Linked DNA regions of Oryzias latipes. The protein of the gene in region 2 interacts with the protein of the main gene of each other region in a biochemical or structural test. Links are inferred from orthologs where the notes say so. Each region holds a gene or a part of one and is shown on either strand. Other genes may lie near its edges.

Region 1 (3,954 bases), on a different chromosome or scaffold from region 2:
GGAGGGGCTTCTTCTTCTTTTTCTACTAGCGCATGTATGCCACCTACAGTTGAAAGAGGCTTGGTGCAAAATGTCAAAAGTGGTGGAAATGTTGAAAATCCAGGCTTTTTCCTTTCACAGCTCTATTCAAAAAACGCAATTATTCATTTCTCCTCCATGATTAATTATCAAACAGTTGGCATTTCAATAAATGAAAGGGTCTCTAATAAATCTGAGTCCCTGACTGGTCAAAGATCAACCTGCTTTAGCCTTCAACTTGCTTTTAATGGCTGCACGTTACATAAAATGATCATAAAAACTTGCATAGCTACACGTGAACGTGAGAGTTTTGAACGCACGTTTATGTGCATTGACATAGACTTTTAATTGGAATTAGTTGCTGGAACGGACGTTGCAGAGTGTGGTATGAACATACTGTAGCTTGAGGTGTTTGCAAAGGAGAACATAAACGGGGCATTGAGCTAAAAAAATGGCTTAGAACAGTTTTTCCCTCGTGCATTAAAATACCTAAAACTGCTGGATTAAAGGGAATACTTAATCGGATTAAATAAAATAGCATGCATCACATAAACTGTGGAAAATACAAATGGAAAAGAAAATTATTCAGAAAAAAAATTAAAACAAAATTACATCAAATTTAGAAAAAATAAAGTCTTATGTGGGATGCAGGGTCTTTTTTTCTTGTTAACTTTATTAGTTTTCCCATGTGTAATTCTGCTCAGCCGTATTACCTGTTGCACCTGTGGTTTCTGTTTGACACTAAGCTGCATCCTGTTTGCTACTTCTTATACTAAAGTTGACTTGCTCTTAGTCAAAATCTTGTTGTTTTTTTATTTTCTTAAGGCATTTTTTTTGTGGAGATTCTTGTTTATGTTCACAATAAATAAGTGATAGTTTGAGTCGGTCTGCCTTAGGTCGCCTATAAGTTCTACAGACCACCAACGCTGACATTTTAGTGTTTTATTTTTCCATTTGGTATGAAATAAATTTGATTTCCTGCATCAAGTCTTGTTTTTCGAGCAAAGCTGTGATTTATAGGAACCGAGGAGATCAATAACTGGCCCTTCAAAAAAATCCCTGTGTTTCATTTGAAGTTATTGATTTTTAAATCAGGGCCTTTTATTGTTCTAATGTTTGTTTCAGACAGGTCTGGAGAGCAAAGCAACTGTCTGTAATCTTAGGTTCACTGTGAGGTCTTAAGGTGGTATTGAGGCTGAAAAATGTTTGGTCATTGTTATGCTAAACTTCAAGTCTCAAAAATAAAAGTCTATTTTTAGTATAATTCTGTAATTATTGTGCCACAAATTAACTCAGTAATAGTCACAGTGTTGGATCCAAAATCAATCTTTAAAAGTTGAGAGTTACAGAAGTTTTTTTAAGTCCAAACAAACCTTAGGTCGAGGCTGTTATAAAACCCTGGCAGCTTCTAAAGACTTTTACTTTGAAAAACACCTCTATTGTGAGCGCGTTAATGCCGTCCCGCCTCAGGCCCTGAAGATCAGTCACTTAGTAACAGTTTCTACTTAAAAATGAAATGTTTCTCCTTATTCTCCTAATCTTTTGAAGGGTATTATGAACCACAGAAGGATAAAGTATTTTCCTTAAACTTCTTACATCCCCCTTCTCATCAGGAGGGTTGGATGCTGGTGGAACCTTCCACTGTATTTTATTTTATTTTTAATCATTGAAAAAACAAAGCTTTTCCTGCTTTTTAATGATTTGTAGGCAGAAATACATAATTTCTAAACCACTTTACCATCTTATATAAAATAAATAGAGTATTGCATTTTACAATGCATTCTCCTATTATTTTAACTTACCTGGAGAAATGCATGGCCATCTGACCGGCCACCCTGAAGTAAAAGTCTGTGGTGTGTTTCATCTCATTCGTGTGTCCTGTTTTCTCGATCCAGTGATCAATCGGATGGCAGTACACTCCATCCACCACGTTCCTGTCATCATAGGAGCAGCATCTGTCATGGCTGGGACCACTACCTGGACACAGACCACATATTTTCTGCAAGGTTTGTAAGCTAATTCCCTCTAACGAATGTTGTGGGACTTCTACATGTCAGTCATATCCATGATTGATTCCAAAACGTAATCCACAAGAAATCCTCTATTTGGAGCAACAAAGTCATGAATATCACCATAATCTGCTGCATTGTTGACATATTTTCACCCTCTAGCAAAGACAATTTTGTGACATTTAGAGGGGGAGACAAATTGTTTTTCATATCCTCAGGCAACAGAAAATGCAGCTTTGCAGGATGTTTTTGAGTTGAAGAAAACGAGGTCCCTAATTAACAAACGTTACTGTGTCGCCCTCTCGTGGTTGTAAAGGTACATTACACTAGTTGCATTAAATATGGCAAATTTTGAAAAGGTTTTTTTAACGTTGCTTTGGGAAAATCGAATGTGTTGTACCTTCCCAAACAAAACCGCCTCTGACCCTTTGAATAAACTTGAACCAGAACGGATCTTTGACGGGCTCTGCCAGCTCCACCTCTCCGGTCCACAGACAGGGCTCGTCAGGTGACGGGATCTGGAGCGAAGCCTTCATCTGTACCGCTCTACTCGGGTCCCAATGGCCCATTTCTTCACGCGAGCCCGAAACTAAAAGCTCCACGTGCGAAGACTGTGGAGAAAGAACGACTCCGAACCTGAACAGCATGGTGGGGGAGTTTATAAATAAATGTGACGTTGCAGTTCTAGTGGTTGTGATTTTATCTCATTTTGTTCTGCTGACTGTCTGCTGCGGGCTAAAAATAGCGGTGTTTTGGACTTCAGCGTCTGCAAAGACTGAATAAAAAGAAAGAAGGCTCACTCGGTCAACAAATTCTGAAACCAAAAGCTATTTGGATCATAAATGCTGTTGTAAACACTGCAGTACGTGTGAATATTCTGACTGTTTTATTAGACTGAATTTTAAATGAATAAGTACATTTTTAAAATCATGCTCTTCAAGCTCAAAACCATACACACTTAATAGAAACAAATTACACAAAAACGGAAATTTGGTTTAATAATTTAATTCAACACTCAATGTAACCACAAGGGGGCACAATCAGGTACATTTGCCACCACAAGTTGAGTAAATGTGGAAGGTTGCATCCATCCATCAATCCATCCATCCATCATCTTTGTTTATTTGAAAGTACCACAGGGTGTTATCTTGAGCATTCACAGCTTTGCCTTTAGAGCTGTTTCCCATCTTGAGCTTGGAACTTCTGTATAGCACAGTCTTATGGATTTGGGATGAAACCCTCCATGCATCACAACTTATCATGCCAGCAGGGAATCTGATGATTGATAGGACATAATTATTGACACCCAGCACTTTGTTTTCCCATCCTGCAGACGTCCCTAGGCTTGCTTTATTCTGTGTAGGTGTTTGACAGTTGCTGCTTCCCTTTTGGCCTCTTCATGGTTCCCATTTAGCTGTGGTAGTCCAAAGTGTTGCCTTCTGGCACTACAAGCCCTTAAATTCAGATACTCTTCCTGTTACAATCTAGGCATCCTTGTTCAGTCCTGATAACATAACGACACTCTACACATGTATGTGTCTTTATGCAAGACCAAACCGTTAAAAAGCCAGTGAAGTTGTTCATATTTAACATTTCATCCCAACAAGCGCTTTCAAGGAAGCCATTTATAACCCATTCCAATGAAAATCATGATTTTTGTCTTTTTAACTTGTTTATGTGACATTTTTCTGATTACGGAGGTCATATATATATTTTTTGAAAATTGCTCATGGAAAATGGCATTTCTGGGTATTTTAATGATTCAGATTGTTGTGGATCAGCAGATGAGAAAATGCAGTTTGAAAAAGAGCAAATTTGGGACGTAGAAAATATGCTGGGTGGGCCACAAGCTCTCTGCTCCAAGTTCTAAGCAACAGAGAGGGGAAGGGGGGCGGGGTTGCCTCATACCAACATTGCCATCTGCAAG
Region 2 (3,549 bases):
CGGAGGTTTTTTTTTTTTTTTTTTTTTAAGACATGATGTAATGATGCAAAGCACAGTTGAAGCACTTTGCAGAATGTTTCCGGTAAGACTGTATTGATTTGTAATGGTTCAGTATTTTTGTGGGTCATTGTGATTTTGAGTGACTTCCCCGTGCCCCCCCCCTCCCTTTTGTGGCTGCTATCATTTTTATTTGTACATTTTACTGGAGTGACAAAAGAGGGCAATTATTCTCATTATTGCATGTGTCGTCGACTTTTTTCCTGTTGGTGTGTTAATGGCATTTTTAATATACAACTGCACGACTGCTTCCAATCAAACGGTTTGGTCCAAACTTGTTCTAGAGCCGCACATCGCTTGCCTTTTGTCGTCATGTTTTTTTATTTTATTTCACCCCTTGTGCCTGTTATTGCGTAGAAATTTGTTTGTGTGTGTGTGTGTGTTATCATTTGTGTGTGCTTTGTTGAAAGTCGATGGTCTTTAAAACGATCAGTATCATCTCTGAACTGACACGGCCCTCACGATTCTTGACAATCCAGTCAGTGACTGAAGAACCGGGCTCGTGTTTGACTGCAGGCATTGGAAAGGGTACACTGTTTGTGGAGTTGGATTGTTTGTGGAGCCAAAAAAAAAAAAATTCAGAAAAAGATTATCGCTGTTGTGAACTGTGAATTATGGCAGCCCATTAAAAAGTTTTACATTTCCTCAAGTGAATTGTGTATAATTTCTGGCTCAGGAATTAGATTGAAACCATATGTTATTTGACTTTAGTCTCTATTCTTTTATTTTTTTTTACCAAGAGTAACTTTGAAATGTTCTTCCTGGAATCCAGAAGGGCATTGTGCTGCAAAGAACTTCTGGATTGGCTGACTGGAGCACTGTCCAACCGGGCTCAGATTTCCCTCAGTCTGCACACTGTGAAGCTCAGACTGAAATAGCTGTTTCAAGTTGACCTACACAGGATGGTTAGATTTTCTTGTTTTGAATTCAGCTCCAGTAAAGCATTTTATTGTGCAACAAAAAAAGTAGTATCTGAGAGGAACTGGAGTTGAGCATGATTATTATGTAAATTATGATATTAAGTGAATCAGTTTTGCTGTTTTCCACTGTGCTTTTGATTTTTTTAAATATTTTCCTCAAGATTTGAAGGAACATTGGTCACAAAATGACTTTAAAATGTGCAAACTGATTTCCAGTGGAGGGCAGCAGAGAACCTTTGTTGAATTTAAGATACCACGTGACCAAGTAGGCCTCAAAGCAGGAGGCACGTGTTTACACAGTACCATGGAGGCCCTGTGCTCTCACCATGCATCTCACTGAGCTTTTGGTTGTCAGTCTGTGTGAGCTAACTAAATAATTAAAGAATCCATAGGAGCGTATCATTCACCATGGACAAGAGTCCTGGTCTCCCAGGATGTAGCTACCTGAATCCAGAGAGGACGCTCGGAGAGATCCGGATCAACTTGCTGGAGTGCAAAGTCTGCTTTGAGCCATTTAATTCTGAGCAGAGAGGAAGAAGACCGCAAAACCTTTGCTGTGGCCATGTTCTCTGCCTGGAATGCATCACGGCTTTGTCCCACCCTCTTCTAGGGAAGCTGGAGTGCCCATTCTGTCGACAGCTGTGCAGTGTTGACAGCACATCTCCATGCCAGGCTCTTAATGACTTGCAAGAGCTTGTATTGCCATGGAGGCCTTCTTCCCCCGATCGTCCTCACAGAACCTCTAGTCTGACTCGCGCAGCTCTGCAGCTGCAAACTTCTTTTGGGGGATGGGGGACTCTGATCAACCCCACTGGAATTGCTGCTTTGGGGTCTTCTGGGACATTAGTTATTGTCCACGATGGAGAGAAAAGGGTGGTGGTTTTCAGCACACTGGGAAGGAAACTGCACAGTTTTGGGAAAAGAGGAAAAGCCGTGGGAGAAATCTGTTTCCCAATGGATGTGGCGGTGACTCCTGCTGGCTGCGTTGTAGTGACAGATCCAGGAGACAGAGCTGTCAAGGTTTTCACCTCCAGGGGGGATCATTTAATAACAATCAAGGACTCCTTCCAGTTGCCCTGGGGTGTAGACATACACATCTCTGGGCACCTCCTAGTCTCAGACGCTCAGGCTGGAGTACTGACCAGGATGAAAGTGGACTACAGTCAACGTGTCATTGTAGAGTGTCATAAAGCCATCTCAGATCTTCAGTGTCCCAGAGCGGTGGCATGTTGTCGGCTGACTGGAAACACGGCGGTGATGGAGCACCCAACTGACGTCCCACATCCCGCAGAGGGACGCCCATACAGACGGCTGAGAGTATTTACAAAAGACTTCCACCTCATTTACCAGACGGACAGTTTCAGCCTGACTCTGCAGTCAACAGTACAGCTGAACATGTCAGCTTTGAGCTTTGATAGAGATGGAGCTGTAATAGTGACAGATCCTTATCAGGGGTTTATTTGGAGTTTAGGGAAGCTTGAAAATGGCCCAGTTCTAACTCCTATTGTTGGTAATCATCTTATCAGACCTGTTAGTTTGGTGTTACTAAATGACATGCTCATCACTCTGGATGGTGGTGACCACACAGTCAAGATTTTCTCTAATAAACCTGAATAAAGCATATGCTTACAAAACATGTTAGATCTGAACCCAGACCCATTTTTCATTAGAGCAATACTATGCGGGATCTACTGTACCACTGACCAAGTGGATCTCAGAACACATTTCTGATGTCTTTCTCTTACACATGTCGCCATTGGTTCTTATTAGTTAAATTGATGATTTGTCAAAATTTGGATAGATTTTTCCCGGATGAGATTTGTCCAGTATCTTTGTAGTTCGTGCATTTGTTATAACTTTAAGCTTAAAAAGACCTCCACCACTGGGAAATAAGTAATATTTGTAAGGCATTAAAGGGAGTCATCAGTATTATATGCCAAACATGACAGTGTTGGGTGTGTGGATGTAGTTAGCTAGGAATGTATGCAGTTTTTTGAATTCTAAACCGTTATAAAATGTATGCAGAAATAAAAATTATTCCCACTCCAATCCTCTTTAGATCTATTGTAAAAGCTTTCCAAGTAGTCTTTTATTTACAATTATTGAGTTTTTAGGCAAAATGAAAAAAAAAAAACGGTCATTTTCTAGGACATAGAGCGATGGTAGATCCTTAGAATTTGCCTCTAATTAAACAGACATCCTTCTGTTTACACTTTCTCATGTTAGCTTACATCCCAGCAACATCCCCCAATCTAACATTACTGGTGCTGCAAAAATGGTGAGCAATTTTGCAGCTATCCAGCCAAACCGTTTTGAGCCAGATGCCATGAAGGAAAAGGAAGATAGTCATAGATCTATTTGTCTGCAAGTGGATACATCCCAATGGTGCGGAGAATGGGGCTTGTGACCTACCATTTGTAGCACCTACATCATGACAACATGCCGTTTTCCAACTGCATTTTTTTGTCTGCTTCTGATTCACAACAATTTGAATAAAGTTGTTGTTGTTCACCCTTAGGCAAATCCTTTCAGAGGTTGCCACAGTAAATCAGCTTTCACTAATTCCCACAAG

Evidence for each region.
Region 1: the proteins of nhlrc1 (region 2) and epm2a form a complex in vitro, tested with the Homo sapiens proteins (3 studies listed by BioGRID, with this or other methods). The link is inferred for Oryzias latipes from reciprocal best matches to the Homo sapiens genes NHLRC1 and EPM2A.

What each region holds. Positions count from the first base shown.
Region 1 is NC_019882.2:8,655,347-8,659,300, reverse strand, and holds the start of epm2a (laforin), read right to left. Parts: upstream 2,801-3,954; 5' UTR 2,675-2,800; coding exon 2,428-2,674; intron 2,025-2,427; exon of another isoform or gene 1,996-2,024; coding exon 1,821-1,995; intron 1-1,820. UniProt on the Homo sapiens protein: Plays an important role in preventing glycogen hyperphosphorylation and the formation of insoluble aggregates, via its activity as glycogen phosphatase, and by promoting the ubiquitination of proteins involved in glycogen metabolism via its interaction with the E3 ubiquitin ligase NHLRC1/malin.
Region 2 is NC_019874.2:16,428,791-16,432,339, reverse strand, and holds nhlrc1 (E3 ubiquitin-protein ligase NHLRC1), read left to right. Parts: upstream 1-1,193; 5' UTR 1,194-1,385; coding exon 1,386-2,594; 3' UTR 2,595-3,049; downstream 3,050-3,549. UniProt on the Homo sapiens protein: E3 ubiquitin-protein ligase. Together with the phosphatase EPM2A/laforin, appears to be involved in the clearance of toxic polyglucosan and protein aggregates via multiple pathways.